Linked DNA regions of Oryzias latipes. The protein of the gene in region 1 purifies or fractionates together with the protein of each later gene. This does not show direct contact. Links are inferred from orthologs where the notes say so. Each region holds a gene or a part of one and is shown in the gene's direction. Other genes may lie near its edges.

Region 1 (7,238 bases):
GCTGCTGGTTGACTCTTTCCAGACGGAGAACAACTTTGATTAGAATAAAAAGTATTTTTGCTGTCATTTTAAAGTTTCAGTTCTCATTGAAAAAAAACTGCTTTAAATGAAAAGAACTGTAGATCTGAACCGAGGAATGTAATTTACGACGGGTATCAGATTTGCGGATGTTTACAGTTTTTCTCGTCATCCCTTCGTGTTTATTAAACAGTCTAGAACCTTTTGTTTTTTTTCCTTTTCTAACTTTTGGAAGTGAAGCAAGTCTGATGTGAAGAGTACTCCACTCAAATGAGAGTTCTCTAAAAGTTGTACAGTATGATGAATAGAAGTGACATCACTGTGAAACCACCACTACCTGAAAGTAATGCACATCCGTTTTTGTGAATTTGGATCAGAACAGACGCGCATTCTGTCTCATCTACATGCAGACATGCAGCAAATCTGAACGTTGCAAGTTCTTTGACATTTGTTGAGGAGACGTGTCAAATGATGTGGGAAGATGAAGGAAATCCCCCACTGTGTGTTTGGATGGCAAAAGGAAAGGAAATTACAAAAACTCCTTCATTTCGGCACCTGTTTCTAAACAAATAAATAAACGTCAATGTGCTACGGTAGTGAAGCCTGAATACATTCAATTCCAGTCAGATTCCGGTTTGCTTCCTTACACCTACATTTATCCCTCCAAGCAGAGAGAGATATGAGGAAAAAAAATAGTGTCTTTAAATCTGGACGTTACTACTGCTCGATGATGTCATCAATCGTCACCAGTTACCTACGTTATTGGGTAGCTGCCAGCGCCCAGAAAATACACATCGGCTTTATAACTTTAAAAAGTAAAAAAAAAAAAGTTAATACTCAATACTAGCATGTATCCCTTGTGCTATCCTAGGCACGTTAATGTTAGGAGTTGGGTCATCTAGACCCACTAGACAGTGCTCTGAACCTTTTTTCTTCAATGATTTGTGATCTTCACTGGTGTCCACGGATTACATGAAATCTTTCCACCTTTATCCACCTTTGTCATGGTAGGAAGAACACGTCAATGGAAGGGTGGGGTCATCTTGACCCAACAAGACAGCACAAGGGTTAGATATAAACTTGTACAATTGGAACAGTAGGGAGGAGCCAAAGGGGAAGGGAAGGGACGCCAATTGGATTTGGCCAAATATTATCTGTTCCTTTGTTATGATTTTCCAATTTACACATTTCCATATAGTTAAGTAAATCTACCCAAAATGCAACTTGTATGTGATTCTTTTTTCTTTATTATGCGTTTTTTGGCTGCAGTGACTTATTCTCCTGAGTGACTTATAGTCTGAAAAATATGCTAGTTTTCTGCAGATCAGCCGTGGTTTATCAGAAATTGGCCCCCCTTTGCTGCTATCAGGGAACTTGTGGCCTTTCCTGTGCATTTTCTGCATAGCAAATATATTTTTCAAGCAACTTTTTTTTTAGCTCAACTTTTGATATATGTCCTCTGAAAAGTGTCACAAGAACATGATAAAACACCACTTTTACCATGGTGGGTCTTTAATGAAAGACTTGTGAAAACAGATTAAGGTTTTCTGTGTGAACTACTCTAGGGATCAGTTAAAGCACAAATTTGAATTTAAGCAACCAAAAAACAGTGGAAGGCCTTAATAGAGTATGCACACTTGGCTTGTAAAAGTCTGCACAACAATTTCACAATAGCAGTTAGTGGTGAAAACATTTATTGTAGCCACACAAAATGATCTAAGCAATGAAATTTAGAACATCTTTAATTTGCCTGATTTTTTTTTTTTTGTGTTAACCAAGGAGTTGCTTTTTGATCATCAAAGGAACTACAAGTTTTTACATGGTCAGGAATTGCCATTTATTGAATTTTACAAAGGATGCCACTAAATATTTTTCTTACTATTGTTGCACAATTAGCTAATATCCGCTTTTATTTTTGAGTATTTCAGCCGTTATCCTTCTCTTAGGCCCTGCTAGTCACCAGGATGTTTTCAGCAGTATAGTTTCTTACCTTTCGCTGACTCGCTGTTTCGCAGATTTCTTTTGTACTGTTTTGCATGCCTTTTTTTTTTCTTTTGGTTCAAAGCACATTGCGTTCTGCGTCCTTTTTAGCCATAGATTTGGCAATCAATCTCCGCCCTGTTGTGTCTCCTTTACCGAATGCGTTCAGTTTGCCAGATCTTCATACATCTTTGATCGCGGTCATACTGGAATTATTTTTTCAACTTTGATTTAAATGAGAGAAAAAAAACTATAAAAATGTTCATGTATGTCTGAAAAAAGTGTATAAAGTTTGTAGTGAGAGGTTTTAAAGCCTTAGAACATCTACAATTATTAGCTGCAAGACATCAAAAGTAGTGACTACGTCGCAGATTTTTTTCTGTCACGGGTTATTTTTAAAGCTCCTTCAATAACCGGGACAGCTTTTGAATACTTCTAAAACACAGTTGCTGAATAATCCAGTTTGTATCACGTTTTTTTAATATTTATTCATTTATTTTTACGGCTTTTCAGCTAACAGATTGCAGCCTGTGACTCGGCCCCTCCCACGTCCAGCTAAAGTAGCAGCCATTAAACCTTTTCTCCATTTTCTCTATTAAATTCTTTGTAAAATGATTTAACTTATCAAACAAGACATATTTACCATCTTGGGTTAGGTTTCATGGTACTAATGTATGGAACTTATTTTTCTTTATGTATGATAATACATATAACTCATATATCCATATAAGTCATGGATATATTTAAATAATAAGACTGTCAGGTGACGATTGAATCTTCAGCTCTAGATTACCCTTACTGGATGTTTACCAGGAAGTAAAAGACTCATTCTTCCCACCAATTTGCCAGTTTTTGGTGGTGGCATGACCATAAAATAATCTATTTCACCAGTTGCTCATCTCTTAGCGTCAATGGGCCCGTCCCTCAGAAAACAAGTTCATTTTAGGTCAACAAAACTGCATTTGCAGATCTAAACATAGTTTCTTTTACTGTTCTTAACCTCCTAGTGTTCCTCTTCCTCCTTCAGCTTCTTCGTTGTGGAGGATCACGTCCTTCACACCACCCGGGGTTTGGTCAACAGAGCCTATGTGGAGGAGCTTTGGGAGCTGGCACTCTCCAAGATTGTTGCTGCCCTGAGGACGCACTCTGTATGATGAATGACACATTTAGGAAAGACGAACAGCCACGTTCCCATAACATCCTGACTCTCTGCTCTGCTTGTTTAGTCGTACTGTGATGACCCTAACCTGGTGCTGGATCTGAAGAACCTCATGGTGCTGTTTGCCGATACGCTGCAGGTACGTGTGTGATTTACGACCGAGAGCCTCTCCGTCCCCCAATATCTCGCTAATCTCCCAAAGCTGTGGTGTTTTTAAGTTCAGCTGTCCTTTGTGACCCCCAGGTGGCCATGAATCTTCTTAAAAGGAAGTTTAGTTGGTTTTTTTTAAGTGGATGGCTGCAAGTCTCCAAAGAAAGGGCTTCTTTCTGAACCGTTTTAAAGATGGGAGTTCCTCAACTGATCTGACTGTGTTTATCCCGTGCTGCACAAATGAACAAACCTGAATGGATGGAGTGTGATGGATGAGGAAGGAATGGAGGAGAGATGGAGGGGATGTGCTGACCGGATGGGGGGGGACACGAATAAGACTTATGGAAGACATGGAGGTTGTGCTTGGGAGGTCCGACGCCGCAAGTCTTCCACGTGGAGTGATGAGCTGCTATTGAATGGCGTTTTTCCGTTCTTTCGACAGACTTTTTCCTTTTTGAACCAAACTTTCAAATCGGGTTTCAGACACGGGATGCCCAACATTTATTGCTTCATAAATCAGATGAAGGTTTTGAATTTCGGAACTGGTTACTGTTGCTGAGAAACAAAGACATGAAGCCAAGTCAAATGAATAGATAATTAATAGGGTTTGTTTGTTAATTTTACATACTGTTAGAATTAGTTGATTGGATACCCTTCTATTGTTCCTTTACTGCTGGTTTTCCAGCTTTTCTTTTAATTAGGTTTTGAATAACTGAGCCCTTTTAATCCAGCTAATTAACAGGGGTAGAGGTTGCTGGAAAACGTACAGGATGGTAGATCTGTGTCTCATTTCCACTGAGCGGTACGGTCAGGTCCGATACGGTCCGGTTTAGAATGGTCCAGGCAACTCAAGTAAGCGTTTCCACTTAAGGTTGGATCGCCGCGGTGCCTGTGGGGTGACGCTGACAAAAACAACAACAATGGAGGTCGTCCAGTAGCTCATTTTTTTTCCATTTGACTTTTGGTACTTCATATAAACAAAGCGTTTAATGTTGTCTGAGAGAAGATTCCGGTCAGCGAAGAGGAATACAGCTGCTTTGTTGGAGCTTTCGCTTGTCGATATGACTATCAGCCAATCAATGGGTTTCAAGAGTAGCTCTGCTCTAACTATTCCGTTCAATTTTTCTATGGACCTACAACCAAGAGGGGCCCAAAGATGGGATTGTTCGGTCCGGCTTAATGTCAGTTTTATAAAAGAAACGCTCAACGTACCAGACTGGACTGTACTGCTCAGTCCATTTAATTGTTTTCATTGTTTTTTCATAACCAGATGGTTGTTCTCCATCTGAGAAAATAAATACAATTCATGTACATCTGTAATTATTAACTACAAATCATCAGAAGTAGGGGAATTACTTTGCAGAATTTGTTGTCGCTGATTATTTATTGATAAACGTGGGCTAAATGGTAAATGGCGTATACTTATATAGCGCTTTCTACCTTCTTTCGAAGACCCAAAGCGCTTTACAGTCACAGTCCCATTCACCCAGTCACACACACATTCACACACTGGTGGCGGCTCCGCTGCAGAACACTGGCGCCAACCTTCCACCAGAGGCAAGGTGGGGTTCAATGTCTTGCCCAAGGACACTTCCACTCATGGGCGTGCAAGGCGGGAATCGAACCTGCAATCTTACGATCATGGGTCTACCGCCCTACCGCTGCTCCACAGGCGCCAAAACTATCGAACACTTCTAAAACACAGTTGTTGAATGATCCAGTGGGAATCATGTCTTTTAATTTTTTTATTTTTTCTTATGGATGTTTATTTTAAATCTGCTTTCTTGTTCAATGCCTAAAATAAAATGTCCCTCTTGTTGGTGTTTTATAAAAACTGATCTAAAACTCAACCGTTTACGCAACCAACGTAATTTTGATGGATTCAGGAGCTGAGAAAAGTAGATTTGCGCCGATACAAAACACTTTCCGTCCGATGCATTGGAGTTGTGTAAACGGTTGAAAAGTAAAAAAAGCGTGCATTATTTAGGCGCCACCGGCGAAATCTCCAGTGTTTAAGGGTCAACTTTGAAAAGTTTGGTATTTCCCTCCTGACTGGGACTGGACGGGCGTCTTCTGGGAAGTGAACTTCAGCCCGTGTGTTTGATCTGCATTTGCAGGGTTACGGATTCCCGGTGTCCCAGCTGTTTGACATGCTGCTGGAGATGAGGGAGCAGTATGGAGAGATCCTGCTCAAGAGGTGGAACATCACCTTCAGGTACCGACCGATCCGGGCCGCCGTCCGTTTTAGCGGCTCGGGTTGTCATGCGGGAAACCTGCCTTTGGTCAGGAGGTCACGCAGTGTTTGCACGACCACAGCACACTCTCGTCACACCAGAATGTGAGAAATGTGGTTTTGAAGTTTTATGAGCATCAAGAGAGGAAACGTTTTCAAACGACGTCCGGAACATTCTTTACCCTTCGGAATGGGCAGCACCCTCAGACGCTTTGTGTGTGCGTTTGGGCTCAACAGGCCATTGTTCGCCTCTGTTCAATGATACCAGAGGGACGCGGGGCAGTGAGAACGGACAAACAAACACACACTCCCTCTTTCCTCCTCTTTTTCTTATTGGAGTTAACACACACACACACACACACTCGGGAAGCCACAGGAATGTTGTGATGTATTGTTGGGGAGCGATCCCTCTCCGGTTCACCTCCTCTCCATGGAACGCTGGAACGTCCGATCTGCGGAGCGCCAAACAGACGTGGGGGTTGTTGAAAGGAGGCAGGGTGGTAAGAAAACCCGAAGCGTTGGAACGACCCCCAATGGGACGGTTGGAGGTTAATGTTTGTGTTTCAGAAAGAGAGAGGTGGAGCTGAGGAAACGTTTGTTTTTAGCTTTCTCCCGTTGACGTCTTCCACGAACGGAGGAAGTGATTCACCTGTGATCTGCCGTCTTCAGGCAGGTGTTGGATCAGGACAACTACAGTCCAATTCCAGTCTCTACAGAGGAGGAGTACCGCCACTACACTTCCCTGTTTCCCATGCAAGATCCTGAACTGGAAAAGGTGAAAACGAAACATCAGAGTTATAAAAATACAACTTTTTGCTATTTTTAAACATTTCACATCCTTTCATTTTAGTGAATGATAAAGGTTAGAGATGCTGATAAAGTGAAATATTTGGCAAAACCTTATGGAACTCTGTGTTTTATCTTCTGTGTTCGCCAGCTTCCCTTCCCTAAAAAGCTTCCCTTCTCCGAGTTTGTGCCAAAAGTCTACTCTCAGCTGAAGGAGTTCATCTATGCCTGCCTGAAGTACTCTGAGGATCTGCATCTCAGGTACTCGTCAAAGCCGTAGGTGGTTTGTTTTTACCCATGATGCCGCTGACAGGTTTAAACAAACCTCAACACACGGTGGAGTTTAAACCTAGCCCGATCAGCTGGCTTCTTCATTAAAACCGAAAGCTTCTCTTATTCTCATCACACGGTCGGATCGTGACCCGACTATGATAGCCCCACCACAAGAGATGGGTTAGATCCAACACCATTTTTGAATTTGGATTAATGGTTTTGGTTAGTTTCCCCTAAATATTAAAGTGTCTAGACTAAATTGTTCAAAAATCAAAAATATTTGGGCCTTTTCACATCAATTCAGTTCAACTAATAATTTACATAAATATTGACAACTTGAAAAGGTTTTCTCACCAAAATGGACACTAACAGAAGTATTTTGTTTAAAACGCTCCTTTTCTTTTGGTTCTTGACTCTTATTGGTTTATGACAAATGTGCATTCGTCGTCACATCAGCTTTCACTAATTTGCACAGGTGGATTGGCAAAGATTTTTGGACTGGATGCCCTTCCTGACCCAACACTATTATATCCAGGCTGGGGACAGCCACAGGGAAGCCCAGACTTTGGCCCCCTTGTGGCTGCATAGCGTAAAGCAGTCCTACACACAACCAACTAAGCCGTCCAGCTGCTGAATGTG
Region 2 (8,000 bases), on another chromosome or scaffold:
AGTTGATCCAACTTGAACTTTTAAGTTAATACAACTTCCAACTGAGTTAGAAGAACTTAGATAAATGAGTTTGCAAACTCCAACACAAAACTGTCCTCTAGTAACGTGTCGCATGAGTCAGAGAAAAGTGGTGAACCATGCATGGAGCTAGAAATTTTCCTGGATTATTTGATCCAACTTTTAATCTTGGAGGAGTTGAATCATTTGTATCCTGGTTGAAAGCACATGTATTTCTGGCTGAGAGATAACAGGTACTGTATACAATCTCTCAAAAAGGAAAAGAGGAACTCCATAAGCTGAAGCTTTTAGGAATTACATTTTAGCGTTAGCTAGTTTTATGGATATATTGTATCACTTCATTTCAGGTTGTAAAATTTACAATTACTGCAGTAAATTTGTGAGTTTGTAGAGTACCCAGAGTTTGTTTACTTCTCACAAGTTATAAGAATTTAACTATCCTCTTTTGAGAATGTAAAAAATTATTAAGTAATAACTATAAACTATTTTTAAATTATTTTATTACTTAGACTACAATAGAGTTAAATGTTAATTTTTTCATGTGACTTCTTTAATTGCAGAAATATTTTTTTTACCCTACTCTTATTTGAATTCAGTAATATTTGTATTTAAGTATTTTGTTACTATCATATCCCCCGGAGTATAATCGTGTTTTTAAGCCTCATAAAAACTGAAAACAACATCTTTAACCCTTGTGCTATCCTATGACCCCACCCTTCCATTGACGTGTTCTCCCTACCATGACAAAGGTGGATAAAGGTGGAAAGATTTCATGTAATCCATGGACACCAGTGAAGATCACAAATCATTGAAGAAAAAAGGTTCCAAGCACTGTGTAGTGGGTCTAGATCAGTGTGTTTCAACCTTTTTTGAGCCAAGGCACACTTTAACCTTGACAAAAATCCTGCGGCACATCAGCATCAAAAAAACAAACAAAAAAGAGAAACTCATAGTCTGTATTGATCTACAGTCCCTCCATGATCTCACGAGCATTTTCGTGATAATTGTGGCAGAAAAAGTTGGAAGCTGCAGCTGTTTTTCCTAATAGATGTAATAAAAGTTAAGTTAGAAGATTTAAAAACTGTTTATTTGTGTTCGTTGTGGTTTCAAGACGTTAAGAGGAGAGACTCATTGTGCGCCGAGACGCTGTCCCTTTAACCTGATGCATCATGGGAGATGTAGTGCAAAATTCCACCGAATGCTGAAAGACCAGCGTCTCTGAGCTTCATTATTTTGTTTACTTTTTCCACATTCTGAAACCGGATTCTGTGGAAAGCTACACCAGTAAAGACGAGCTTTAGCTGGTATTTTTGTTAGAACTGAGAGACTTAATGAACAGAATTGAAACAAGGAAGTGAAGACTTTAACCACTTCTGATTGGTCAGACTGATGACATGTGATTAAGAATCCAAGAATGATTGGTGGAGACAGTTAAAGGGGCGGGACTTTTCCAAAAATAGAGCTGAAGCTGTGGCTAAATCGCGGTACCGTCATTCTGATCAAAGTGTCTTTAATAGAATCAAATAAACACAAAGAAAAAAGTATTTTATGATCTTTCATATTCCTAACTACTCAGTGTTTTATCAGGGCCTGTTTGGATGAACACAGAGCTGATATCCTGGAGATGGAAAATGTTTTTAGATCAGTTAATAAGGGCAATTTCCCACGGCACACTAGTGTGCCGCGGCACACTGGTTGAAAAACACTGGTCTAGATGACCCAACTCCCAATGTTAAAGCGCCTAGGATAGCACAAGGGTTAAACTAAAAAAGGATTTCTTGTGTATTTCTCTTTAACCAGACCAGACCTCTGTACTGCAGAATCAACCTATGGATAATCTTTGGTCATGCAGCATCCATCGGCTATGAGGTCAGAACAGTCTCATAATTCAGAATCGGCAGCAAGCTCTGCAAACTCTGTTGATGTACAGTGAAGCTGCATCCTGAAACTCTCTCAGCAGACCACCCTGCAAGAAGTTCCAATCACCAACCACAAAGTTCCAGCCCTGGGTCTCAGTTGCAGCCCCCCATCTATGTCGATCAACTTTGTAAATAGTTGTAAATAAAAGTGTTACAATGAATTCATGAGAACTGCCGTTTTGGATTTATTTCTTTATTTGCATGAAAAAAACTCACATGATTTTAAAATATCAAATATGAACATAATTGATTAATTTACTTTTTCTCAGAAAGCATTGATAGGTTATTTCTTTGTTGACCATTTTTTCCCAAGAGATTGAAAAGTCTGTCAAAAGTCTCCCTCCTCTCTTGTGCTCTCAGCTCTTCTGCAGCCTCATGTCCTCCTAGAGCTAGAAGTTCATCACTATTCTTTCTTCTTTTCTTCCAGCAGGTGGCTAACTCTTTCTTTCCTTAGTTTCTTCAAGCTCCTCTCTTGTACCCATTGCTGTACTTGTCCCTGGACCTTCCTCACGGATAGAAGAAATTAGGAGAAAAAGGACTAGGGGAAGGTCTCTGTCCTAACCTAATCCCTGAGATCAAACCAGGGCCTAGTAGCACAAGTGGGCTTCCCACCAACCCCCTGTCCTGACGCTGGATACTTACAATCCTGAACACATGAAATCATAAATGACAGTTGGGGAAAAAAAGATACTCGTCCATTTCAATTAAGATTTTCCACTTCGTGAAATCGATGACGTCATAATCGCCGTAAAAAGTAGCGTGCACGTTTTCCGAATTGCTTTTAAAATCCAGAACACTACATTGTCCCGCACTATATATCGTTTTTTTAGTAGTAAAGGGTTAGGGTGGGAATTCTAACAAAGCTATTGCGATATTTTATGGTAAACAGATTCGGTTTGCCAGGTGGAGTTTCCTGTCGCTTTAATTAGTCATAGGCGGTGTCACATGACACTTCCTCCTTAAAGCCAGGAAGTGTTTGTGTTTGTGCAGAGTTTTGAAGGGCTGATGAAAATAAGGTATTGGGTGAAATTCTTTAACTTAAATTTTTTTTTCACATGTTAACTTAATCGACGGAACAAATCATTTGTGCAAATTACACTGTCGTTGCAAAATTTTAATCTCGTTTAATAACTAGCAAAAAAAGAGGCTACAACCGTTAGCATGTTCTGTTAGCAAGCTCGTTAGCAGTCGCTAAGCTAACCCTGATGTACAGTAACAATAAATCAGGAACTGTTCCGTTTTTTTTGTGGCCCTAAATATCCTTCCTTCCTTCCACACGTCAACTCTTCTTTGAACGGAAAGAAATATGTTATTTATTGGTTAGTTAAAAACAAATAAATCCTATTTACACAGTGATGTACGTTTTGACATGTTTAATTTAATTACGTTTCGATTGATGAACTTGAGCATTTTTTATAAATGCAGCATAAGCATTAACATTTTGACATTCATTGTTTTGCTGGTGGGTTTTCATACTTTTTTTTTAACATGATCATGTCCTTTTTCTACACCCCTATTCTGCCCCCTCAAGAGTATTAGAAGTATTATTATTATTATTATTATTATTATTATTATTATTATTATCATTGCTATTGGTGATCCCCTTATCTTATGTAATTTGTCTTCCCCCTATCTCCCGATTACAAAAACAGTAATTTAGTTGTACTGTACTTTTGCTGTTATAATGACAATAAATGCCTCAGATTCTGATGTTTGGGTACGTATTGTAGATTAGAAGTGAATGCTTAATGAACTTTTGTCTCATAATGCAGACAATTATTTGGTGTACATTAATAGTCATAATGGGCATTGCTGCCTAGACATTTAATTAGTAGATTCACAAGTTTATAATTTCCTGGATTATTTTCGTGTTGTTATTTTTAAGAGGAAAATAAATCTACATTTATTATAAACAAATGGAGTTGGGGGGGCCACTTCTGTGTCCTCCTGTGCTGGTCCCTAGACCAGATAAAATACAAAGATGTTCAGGAAGGTCATCAGGTGTAAAATCTCTGCAAAAAACACCTTTCAATATGCCATCAATAGTTTTAGAGCTCCACTCCTGTCACAAACATGCTATTTCAAAATTCAAACTTGATCAATGTTCTTTCTAAACCAGTTGGGTTTCTGAACAAATAAACATGTACATTATGGTGCATCTGCAAATGGCCTTATCCCAGTTTGATTTGTTAAAATAATGTGATAAGAAATGTTTCAGTCTGTGGTAATAAGTGATTTTTTTATTGTTATACATCTGTTGTGGATGCTAACTGAAGTAAAAAGAAAAGCCGATGAGACTATATTATTGATATGAATCCCTGATGCTGACATGAATCTGCATCTGTTTTGTACAACAGTGTCCACCCACCATGACAGCCATCAAACACGCTCTCCAGAGGGACATCTTCACTCCAAATGATGAGCGCCTCCTTGGTATTGTTAATGTCTGCAAGGCTGGAAAGAAAAAGAAGAACTGTTTCTTGTGTGCCACAGGTGAGTGTATGACCACCACAAATAGGATTGGCAGAATTTCTTTATGGAGTCTAATGCTTCATATTTTTTTTCTAGTTACCATAGAGAGACCTGTTCAGGTCAAAGTAGTAAAGGTAAAAAAATCTGACAAAGGTGACTTTTACAAGAGACAGCAAACTTGGGAGCTTAGAGATCTGACAGTAGTAGATGCCAAAGATGCAAGCAAGGTGAGAGTCTAACATTTAAATTCCATTAATGCTCTGTGTTTCTATAATCTGTAGCAGTGCTGACTGTCTTGCTCCTCTGCTTTAGGAAAACCCTGAATTTGACCTGCATTTTGAGAAGATCTATCGGTGGTTGGCTAGTAGTACAGCTGAGAAAAACTGCTTTATATCCTGCATTTGGAAACTGAATCAGCGTTATCTAAGGAAGAAGGTGGAGTTTGTGAATGTCAGTTCTCAGCTGCTGGAAGGTGCGTGAATCCTCTGTCCTCGATCCTCCCATATGTCTTCTTCATATTTTGTGACCTTTAAGTTATATGTAGCTTTTTTCATATGAAAATGTTTTTTGGTCTTAGAAGTAAACATAAATACTCAAACAATGAGTAGATTTTATAAAGTTAGGTAAAAAAAAGACCAGTTTCTCTTTCTTGAGATTAGCATCCAGAACACCAGACTTTAGAGCAGTTAATGCTTCAAACTACTAGAGCAAATCCAGCCCAGTTTGATTTTACCAAGACCAAACTCATAAGTGAAATATTCCAGCAGCTAAACTATTTGCATAGTGAGGAGGAGCGTGTAACTACAGCTATGATCACCTCTGACACAGTTTTAGTCATTAAGATTATTTAAGATGGTTGCTTCATGTTGACAGTTCATCTTTACTCTTATTAAGCTTAATCTTGTTTACTGCTTTTTGATGAAGGTAGACTATAAGTTGGAACAATGTTTGATGTCATTGCTCCTCTTCTTTCCCCAATACAATTGATATTGGTAAATTACACTGACCAAAAATATAAACGCAACACTTTTGTTATTGCTCCCGTTTTTTATGGTATCAACTCAAAGATGTGAAACATTTTCCACACACACAAAATAACCAGTTCTCTGAAATATTGGTCTCAAATCTGTCGAAATCTGTGATAGTGAGCACTTCTCCTTTGCCAAGACAATCCATCCCACCTCACAGGTGTGCCATATCAAGATGCTGATTAGACAGTATAATTATTGCACAGGTGTGCCTTAGACTGGCCACAAGAAAAGGCCACTCTGAAATCTTCAGTTGTACACACAGCACAATGCCACAGATGTCCAAGTTTTGAGGGAGCGTGCAATTGGCATGCTGATAGCAGGAATGTCCACCAGAGCTGTTGCTAGGGAATTGAATGTCCATTTCTCCACCATAAGCCGTCTCCAAAGGCGTTTCCGAGAATTTGGCAGCACATCCAACCGACCTCACAACCGCAGACCACGTGTAACCACACCAGCCCAAGACCTCCACATCCAGCATGTCCACCTCCAAGATCGTCTGAGACCAGCCACTCGGACAGCTGCTGAAACAATCGCTTTGCGTAACCACAGAATTTCTGCACAAACTGTCAGAAACCGTCTCAGGGAAGCTCATCTGCATGCTCGTCGTCCTCATCGAGGTCTCGACCTCACTCCAGTTCGTTGTCGTAACCGACTTGAGTGGGCAAATGCTCACATGCGATGGCGTCTGGCACGTTGGAGAGGTGTTCTCTTCACGGATGAATCCCGGTTTACACTGTTCAGGGCAGACAGCGTGTGTGGCGTCGTGTGGGTGAGCGGTTTTCTGATGTCAATGTTGTGGATCGAGTAGCCCATGGTGGTGGTGGGGTTATGGTATGGGCGAAGAACACAGGTGCATTTCATTGATGGCATTTTGAGTGCACAGAGAAACTGTGACGAGATCCTGGGGCCCATTGTTGTGCCGTACATCCAACAACATCACCTCATGTTGCATCATGATAATGTTGCAAGGATCTGTACACAATTCTTGGAAGCTGAAAACATCCCAGTTCTTGCATCGCCAGCATACTCACCGGACATGTCACCCATTGAGCATGTTTGGGGTGCTCTGGATCGGCGTATACGACAGCGTGTTCCAGTTCCTGCCAATATCCAGCAACTTCGCACAGCCATTGAAGAAGAGTGGACCAACATTCCACAGGCCACAATAGACAACCTGATCAACTCTATACGAAGGAGATGTGTCGCACTTCATGAGGCAAATGGTGGTCACACCAGATACTGACTGGTTGTCTGAGTCCCCTGACCCCCTCAATAAAACAAAACTGAAGATTTCAGAGTGGCCTTTTCTTGTGGCCAGTCTAAGGCACACCTGTGCAATAATCATGCTGTCTAATCAGCATCTTGATATGGCACACCTGTGAGGTGGGATGGATTGTCTTGGCAAAGGAGAAGTGCTCACTATCACAGATTTAGACAGATTTGTGACCAATATTTCAGAGAACTGGTTATTTTGTGTATGTGGAAAATGTTTCACATCTTTGAGTTCATACCATAAAAAATGGGAGCAATAACAAAGTGTTGCGTTTATATTTTTGGTCGGTGTATAAAACACAGGGTCTTGGTTCATTGGAATGTTTTCAAAATCTCACGCTCACATCAATGTTTCTGTTTCATATCTTGATGATCTTTTATTTATGATTGTATTACTTTGTTTATTTTCAAGATGTTTGAAGAACATTTTTCTTTTTTGTATCATGGTTTGTGGTATTTTTTTCTGTTTTAAATTCTTCTTTACTCTCACTTTTCCCTCTAAAACTTTCTCTGGCCAGAACTTCCAAAAGCAGAAGGTTGGTAGGACAAATTCTGCTCCCTTTCGGTCGTATTTTCATGACGTCACTGCCATTTCATTTAGACTCATGCCCTCCTGATTCCTCTCATTTCAGTCATTTCATTACATGTGGGAGGGGGGGCTTTTGATTACTCTAAAGCATCTTTTAGGCCCTTAAAACATATTTTTTACTTGTAAACTCCAGGTTTGTTTATAGAATTTCTTTAGAGGTATCTGTTCATTAATGCATCATCAGGTTTCTCATATCTTTAGCCTTAGTCACAACTGCCCTTACGGGTGGATACGAGATGTCTGTAGGGAAAAAAAAAAGGGAAAACCTTTACGGGGCATGCAGGTGGCTCAATGAAAATTCAAAATCGTAGACCGCTCAGTGGCCCGTTTACAGAAAATGTTTGTAAACCTTTTTTTTCTATGGACGTGCTGTGGGCGACAGGTTGTAGGGAACACTTATGCAACACGTTTTTTAACCCACCTGAATCTTTTCCACTGAGCCTGTTAGAAATGATAAGTGCGTGCTCCTTGCATGCGACCTGACTGTTAGAAATGAGGAAATTAAATGGTTAGAGCGTTATTTGTGTGGGTGTCCTATGGGCAGTTGCATATCAGCTGCACTCCTAATGTGTGCTGCAATGGTGTGCGTTTGGTAAGGCGCCAGTACTCGCTCCTTACTAATGACTGGAGTGTGGCATTTAGTACACTGTACGACTGTATCACCAGTGCGTCATAAATGCATGTACCTCGCATTCTCCT
Region 3 (7,668 bases), on another chromosome or scaffold:
TGAATTTTCTCCGTATTTAGTGCACTAGATAGAACGCCATTTTGTCGGGTGGAATTGGACATCGCCACAGATTTGATGGTTTTTTATATTCCAGTTCAATCCAGTTGACTTCATGGGAATAATCTGGATCTGAATAATATGGAATTATCACAGTTTTGAATAATTTAGCTCAATTGCAGGATTCTTCTAGGAATTTAGTTCCCATTGATGAAAGTAAGTCCTTCCCAGTGCATGCTGGGACATTGATTAGGGTTTTAATTAACAGAATTTCTAGCCAGGGATTGGCTGAGCTGTGCCAAAAGGTAAAGCTCTCAGTTTACTGGTAATTTTACACCAAAGATCATGAGCTATGAGTCATGATCGGATGGAAAAGATCTGGAAAACATCAGCGAGTTTCCTCCACGAGGTGATGGAGTGAGGAAAAGAGCTGGTCCTCCACACCAAAAGAGGCCAGTTCAGCCAGGAAGCCTCCCTAAAGAGGCAACTTCGGAGCAGCTCTCTGCGACAAGCACTGTTCTAACTTGGATCTTTAAAAAATGACTGATTTATTAGTAAAAACATATTGTAAAATCCCATCCACCTCCACTAGGTCTTTCCTGGGTCTGAGCTTCAGCAGAGGTTCACTGAGTCTGATGGAACACAGTCCACCTCGACCTTCATAGGAGCAAACGCCAGCACACCTGCAAGAGGAAACCAAAGAGAGTAGAAGCATTTTTTTAGACATAATTGCCATCACTGATCCAATGACATTACTTACACCCAAAATCTTCAATATAACCTTAAATTTATGTATCTATTTGCATTTATTCTATTTTATTTTATTATTTTATAAGCTGCTTGCACTGTGGGGCGAGAGGAAAGTAATTTAATCTGTGCTGTTAATCTGTATGTATGCTGCATACTTGACAATAAAGCTGACTTTGACTTATTGAGCTTTTTCTTCAAAATCTGTCCACTTTATTTGAGAAAAAAAAATTTTTTGCTTTCTCTAAAGCTTTTATTTCCCTGTTTCAACGTTTCCATTAAAAATCCATTGTGTTTTAGTTTTGATCTAAATCGGTGAGGTCAGTTTAGGCTCCGAAACAGCTTAAACCAAATGTCCAAAGTCAGAATAGACTCACAGGGTCATCCTGGGACTCCACTTGACCTCCACTCCGCTGAGTTTGCCCCAGAAGAACATGTCATTGAACTCCAAAAACATGGCTCTAACATCAGGGCTGGGATCCAGCATCTCCCAGGAATCATCCACGATGCTTAGCGGCCGCTCAACGCCGGAAGTTGGCTTTCTATCCCTGGCCCCACCGGCAAGCTCCACTTTCCGCTTTTTGCTGTTGTTTCCGAACTCCCCTTCGTTAAAACTTAGAGATGAAACCAGTGAAGATTCATATTCATGGTCAAACTGCTCCTGTAGCTGAACGGCGAGCAGAAAGTCCTCGTCCATCACTGCTGCTATTTTGCCATTTAGCTTTGGCTAACCCGAACTTCTAAAAACCAATCAGTGCGCCAGTTGTACTACATTTAGCAGTGTAAACTCATAAAGAAAAAAACGAATTTATGTCATCATTTTTTCGCAAAACGGACGCTTAAACATAAAAACGGAAACAATTTAATAAAAAAGAGTAAGAAGCTGGAGCCAACAACTTCCTGTCATCTTCCACAAACCTTCCGGTAATGTTTTATTTTATTTTTTTCACAATAAAACATATTAAAGTTTTTGTTCAAAGTATTTTGAATATCTAAACGTAGGCACGTATGTGTTTTCTTAGTATATTATTAATTGAAATTGAAAGCCGCGTAGCTTTTAAGGAAATTGTTTTTGCATCAATGCAATTTTACTCTGTCTTTTGGTCTAACCTGCTGTCAAGTTCCGCGAAGTCCCGTACGTGATTGTTTTTCAAATTAAAAAAATGAGTTATTAAAGGCGTTTTGGTCCCAAATATGGTTACTTAATCATTTTTGTCTATTATAATGATATGTTTTAAAATTAATTGTCTAAACTAAAACACTGTGATATATATATAACATGGGCACTTTTTTATGCTCAGTATATCAATATATATAGTAAAAAGAAAAATTCAATAGTTTAATTTGGGTAGCTTTGACGGTGATCTTTTTTTTATAATTCAATGTAATTATTTTGTATGCTTTGGTTACCACTTCCGGTAAAGATTGCAAGCATCGCTAGCACAAATATTAGCGATGGGTTCTGGGAACTTTAGTAAACATATATCTGATATTTAAATTAAATTATTCAATTGTTACAATTGAATAAAGTTTACGAATCATAATCAAAAATTTATATTATCTTATGCCTAAAGATAATCAAATAATTTTTTTACGATTTTATTTTTAAACTTTTTCTGATCACGTGACGTTCGGGTGTTGCTGCTTACAGCTTCCTGTTGGAGTGAAAGCGGATGTAAAAGGAGCTTCGATGCACTCGTCTTGTTCGTACATTTCATAGCCATTTTACTAATATTTCGCGTTCGTAAATAATTGCAAACACAGCTAAAGATGTCGGAAACAGGGAACCGGCTGCGGAAACTTCTCGAATCTCCCAATTTCGATCCGCAAACGTACGTCAAACAGCTGTCACAGCAGTCCGACGGCGACAGGGATCTGCAGGAGCATCGGCAAAAAATCCAAAACCTGGCCGACGAAACGGCCCAGAATTTGAAGAAAAATGTCTATAAGAACTACAGGCAGTTCATTGAAACCGCCAAAGAGATTTCCTACCTGGAGAGCGAGATGTACCAGCTGAGCCACATCCTGACGGAGCAGAAGAGCATCATGGAGAGCATCACCCAGGCCTTGCTGTCCACAGACAAGGATGAGACCTCCAAGGAGATGCAGGCTGCTTTCCCCAAAGAGACGGAGGAGGTGAAGCAGAGGGCGCTCACCTCTCTGCTGGAGAAAGTCGAAGGAGCCAAGAACATCATGGACATCCCGGGGAGGCACCTAGTCTACAACGGAGACCTTTTTGAGTTTGACGTGGACAACATGTCCCCCATCCAGAAGGTCCATGCTTTCCTCATGAACGACTGTCTGCTGATCGCCACCTGGCTGCCCAACCGCAGAGGCACCGTGAAGTACAAATACAGCGACCTGTACGACCTGGAGAGCTTCGCCGTGGTCAACGTCAAGGACAATCCCCCCATGAAGGACATGTTCAAGATCCTCATGTTCCCGGACAGCCGCATCTTCCAGGCAGAGAACAGCAAGGTCAAGAAGGAGTGGCTGGAGATCCTTGATGAAACCAAAAAGAACAAGGTGTCTAAGGACAGACACAAGAAGGAAGAGGAGGCTCCCACGTCCCCCATCAGATCTGAGGTGTCCACCAACCCTTTCGACCTGGAGGACGAGGACCCAGCAGATGCAGAGGAAAGCGCAGAACTTGGTATCGAGTGGATTCAGGAGCTCCCCGAGGACCTGGACGTGTGCATTGCCCAGAGGGACTTTGAGGGAGCCGTGGACCTGCTGGACAAACTGAACGAGTACCTGAAGGACCAGCCCTCCACTCAGAAGGTCAAGGAGTTGAGGTCCAAGGTGGACGAGCGGGTGCGACAGCTGACTGAGGTGCTGGTGTTCGAGCTGTCTCCGGATCGGTCACTCCGTGGTGGACCTAAAGCGACCCGACGTGCCGTGTCCCAGCTCATCAGACTAGGTCCTGGTTTGGTTCTTTTCTTAATTTCCAGAGAAACAGAGAAGAGATGATGTTTGACTAACTTCCAAAACATTTTCTTTAGTCCGTTAAAGCCAAAAAAAAGGCAACATTTTTAATTCAAACTTTTATTTAGGAGCATCAATGTCGTTTGTTTTGCAAAAAAAAAAAAAAGTGTTCAAAGCCCACTCTTCTGGATCTGTCAGGCGGGGAAGTGATGTTGAAAAAAAGTTTCTTTTAATTTAATTTTAGGTTTTGAAGGTCAACATTTTAAGGGACCAACCAGTGTAATCCTGCTTTACTCCTGTTTGGGGTAATGGGGTCACTGGAGCTAAACCAACAACTCTTCAGTGAAGGCGGGGTTCGCCCTGGACAGTTCGCCTTCCATCACAGGGCCACACAGAGACAAACAAGTTCACACATTCACACCTAAAGGTCAATTCAGAGTCACTAAAGCTTTAGCCACATGGACCTGTACGGGGGCTGACCTGTACAGGTGCCCTGGGTTTTTGGGTTGTCCAGGTCTGTGGAGGGGAGTAGAAAGTAGACCGGCCAGTTTAAGGCGCATCTTAACAGGAGCACAGGTGTGTCTTGCAGTTCCCTTGAAAATGGAACCTACCATTGTGTATGGTAAGCATATTGTGAAGTATTTGTAAGGCTAACATAAGTTACACGCACTGATAACATACGGGTGATGTTGCCGAACACCGCCCAAACTGCCACACTGTAGTCGTTATTAACCCTTGTGCTATCCAAGGCACTTTAACATTGGGAGTTGGGTCATCTAGACCCACTAGACAGTTCGCTGAACCTTTTTTCTTCAATGATTTGTGATCTTCACTGGTGTCCATGGATTACATGAAATCTTTCCACCTTTATCCACCTTTGTCATGGTAGGGAGAACATGTCAATGTAAGGGTGGGGTCATCTAAGACAGCACAAGGGTTAATGAGTGAGTACTGGTTCCTTACTGACTCCAAGCAAATGCTGACATGTAAGTGTCCGTAGGACAGGACACTCACACAAACTACACCATTATCATCAAATTTCTAATGCTACGTTAACACCAGGCTTGGAAATGCGTGTTTGAGTGACCACTTTCAATGAAAATTCTATGTAAGTGCTCACGTAAAAGCCCGTTTTGGGCCTCCGCGTTCAAAGCTCTCTCGTTGACGCGTCTCTACGCAGGTTTTTAGGTCAGTTTTCAGGCTCTACGTACAAAACACGCAATCGAACGTGTGCTGAAAGTTTAACTAGTTGTACTTTGACCAATCAAGGACTCTGATTTGGTAGTGAGGTATGAGTAGCATCCTTTTCAAAACACTGAATCTTGGAGGTGAAATACTAATTGCGGTTTGTGCCCGGCCAAAATTCTATGACACCAAGGCCTTCCTTTATCAAAATAGAGCTGTGAAAGAAAAAGCCTGGAGCAAGATTGGCACCGCTTCAACATTTCGCAGGAAGCATCTTATAACTGTGCGCTACTATCGGGTAGCGACAGTCCAGTATGAGCACGTATGCTGAAAGTGCGTTCAAGAACCCGCGTTCAGCGCCATGCATGCCCAGTGTGGAGTTAGCATAACAGTCAGGCTACACAGAAGGAGTGCGCACTTATCACTTGAACAGCACCGTGCGCAGGATTTGGGGGGGTAAAGAAAACTATAAAATACGTAGAACATGGCTGCGTCTCACCTACTTCACCCTTCCTTTCCCTTATGTTGTATAAGTATTCATTACCACCTGTTGCCTGCAGCATTCCCAAAGACAAAATGTGCAAGAGCACTTGGCTGTACAGCCCCACACAGGTTTGCCTATTTTTCTACCACAGGGCAGTTGTGTCCAAGGCTTTACCACCTGTGTGTATTACTGCAAAAACATGGACTCCATTTTGAGTAGATATCTATTTTTCAAGTCTATTGAAACCCGATTTTTATGGTTATTACTTTTTTTACATAACTATTGATGTAACCTAAAGAAAAGTGGATTTTGAGTCACTAAAATAGGAATCGATTTATGCCTATTACAGGCCAGTCCACCAAAGCCTGCGAACTGTTTCTGAAAAACCGAGCCGCGGCAGTCCAGACGGCCATCCGGCAGCTTCGCATCGAGGGAGCAACGTTGCTCTACATCCACAAACTCTGCAACATCTTCTTCACCAGTTTGCTGGAAACCGCCAAAGAGTTTGAGATGGACTTTGCTGGGAACACGGGTTGCTACTCTGCCTTTGTCGTCTGGTCCAGATCTGCCATGAAGATGTTTGTTGACGCTTTCAGCAAACAGGTAGACAACATGTTACCAAGAATGTTGATCGTTTTCTGATCTACTCCTTTTTTGTTTTCTATTTTAACAGCCTTTATGTCAAAAGACAAGTTCAACTCTTGGCTGATGATAGTGTGGTTTATTGTTTTGTCCTTCTGCCTCATCACGACTTCAGATTTTTTTAAAACAAACCTAACTTTGATAAGAATTATCACACAAACAAAGCTTAAATTTTCACTTAGATCATCTTTTGATATATTACTCTTAATTTTTTCTTTATAAATGCCATCCAACATCAGAAAAATGCTACAAGAACATGTCAAAAAACATCATTTTCATTGTAGTGGGTGTTTACTTATTTCAACGAGAATGTTAATCATGTTAATCACATCTGTTGCCGCCTTTCTTCCAGGTGTTTGACAGTAAGGAGAGCCTCTCCACGGCCGCAGAATGTGTCAAAGTGGCCAAAGAGCACTGCCAGCAGCTGACGGAGATCGGCCTGGACCTGACCTTCATGCTGCAGTCGCTGCTGGTCAAAGATATCAGGGCTGCCCTGCAGAGTCAAAAGGACATTATCATCGAGGCCACCAAGCACCGCAACTCCGAGGAGATGTGGAGGAGAATGAACCTGATGACCCCCGAGGCTTTGGCCAAGCTCATGGTATGTTTCTGTCGCTCTTCTATGCAGTAAACGAGGCTGATAATAACACAGGTTAAAATATATTGAGATTGAGATTTGCACACCTGGAGAGGTACAATAGGTAATATTTTAAAGTCAGGGCTGATGGTCAGGAGGCAGAACTATATGAATGTCGTGAAAGGAGGACATGAGGTTGTTAGAATATGGAGACAGGAGGAATAGAAGAGTCAAAAGAAAGTTTATATATAAATTGTCCTTGAAAATAAATATTTTATACACATTGAAATCTTTCTAATGTTCATTCTGTTTTTTGATTATAAGAGTTTAGCATCCTGCTAAAGCAGAAACTACTGCATTCAAGTCTGGTTCACTCCACAGTTGTCTATATTGCTGGTCTGACTGATACAGACTGGTACTGGATCACATGGTACTGGCCACAGAAATAAAAACTCACATTATTTCCATTTTATTTGTTTTGTGATTCTGGGGGAACCTTCAAGTTAAGGGGAAATCTATCTATATGACATTTTAATGGGTCATACATAAAATGTAGTGTACGATATAAGTTGAAAGTGGCTGCAGATCTCTGAAAATTCAATGAAACAAAGTTTCTGATTTGGGAAAACTTATTAAAGAAAAATGTACGAATTTTCCAGTGTTTCCAGTGGTCCTGCTCGGAGCAGGGAGCAGGGACCCGCCCGGCATATTTTCAAATTGCATTTGTCCTCCATCATCTGAAAAATGCCACAAGAACAGGATAAAAACACCATTTTCCTCGGAGTGGGTCTTAACAAAGTTTCATTTAAAGAACGTTTTCAAACAGTGCTGTTCATGTGTCTCTCTTCCTGCAGGAGGAGATGCACAGCTGTGGCATAAGCTTCCAGCAGTACACAGGAGACGGCTGCTGGGTGAACCTGAGCTACACCATGGTGGCCTTCACCAAGCAGATGATGAGCTTCCTGGAGGAAGGCCTTAAGCTGTACTTTCCCGAGCTGCACATGGTGCTGCTGGAGAGTCTGAGGGAGATCATCCTGGTGGCCGTGCAGCACGTGGACTACAGCCTCCGCTGTGAGCAGGACCCAGAGAAGAAGTCCTTCATCTTGCAGAA

Evidence for each region. Proteins that work in one complex are often made in the same cells at the same time.
Region 2: the proteins of exocyst complex component 6B (region 1) and exoc1 purify together in Homo sapiens (affinity purification with mass spectrometry; 3 studies listed by BioGRID and IntAct, counting the BioPlex papers as one, with this or other methods). This does not show direct contact. The link is inferred for Oryzias latipes from reciprocal best matches to the Homo sapiens genes EXOC6B and EXOC1.
Region 3: the proteins of exocyst complex component 6B (region 1) and exoc8 purify together in Homo sapiens (affinity purification with mass spectrometry; 3 studies listed by BioGRID and IntAct, counting the BioPlex papers as one, with this or other methods). This does not show direct contact. The link is inferred for Oryzias latipes from reciprocal best matches to the Homo sapiens genes EXOC6B and EXOC8.

The regions. Positions count from the first base shown.
Region 1 is NC_019876.2:5,440,193-5,447,430, reverse strand, and holds part of exocyst complex component 6B, read left to right. Parts: intron 1-3,025; coding exon 3,026-3,146; intron 3,147-3,224; coding exon 3,225-3,296; intron 3,297-5,424; coding exon 5,425-5,522; intron 5,523-6,209; coding exon 6,210-6,315; intron 6,316-6,477; coding exon 6,478-6,587; intron 6,588-7,238. UniProt on the Homo sapiens protein: Component of the exocyst complex involved in the docking of exocytic vesicles with fusion sites on the plasma membrane.
Region 2 is NC_019862.2:102,804-110,803, reverse strand, and holds the start of exoc1 (exocyst complex component 1), read left to right. Parts: upstream 1-2,719; 5' UTR 2,720-2,953; intron 2,954-4,294; 5' UTR 4,295-4,306; coding exon 4,307-4,430; intron 4,431-4,505; coding exon 4,506-4,636; intron 4,637-4,721; coding exon 4,722-4,881; intron 4,882-7,230; coding exon 7,231-7,248; intron 7,249-8,000.
Region 3 is NC_019882.2:17,523,109-17,530,776, reverse strand, and holds the start of exoc8 (exocyst complex component 8), read left to right. Parts: upstream 1-2,387; 5' UTR 2,388-2,514; coding exon 2,515-3,664; intron 3,665-5,687; coding exon 5,688-5,941; intron 5,942-6,332; coding exon 6,333-6,581; intron 6,582-7,411; coding exon 7,412-7,668. Other genes in the region: sprtn (sprT-like domain-containing protein Spartan), read right to left, coding at 581-680, 1,122-1,441. UniProt on the Homo sapiens protein: Component of the exocyst complex involved in the docking of exocytic vesicles with fusion sites on the plasma membrane.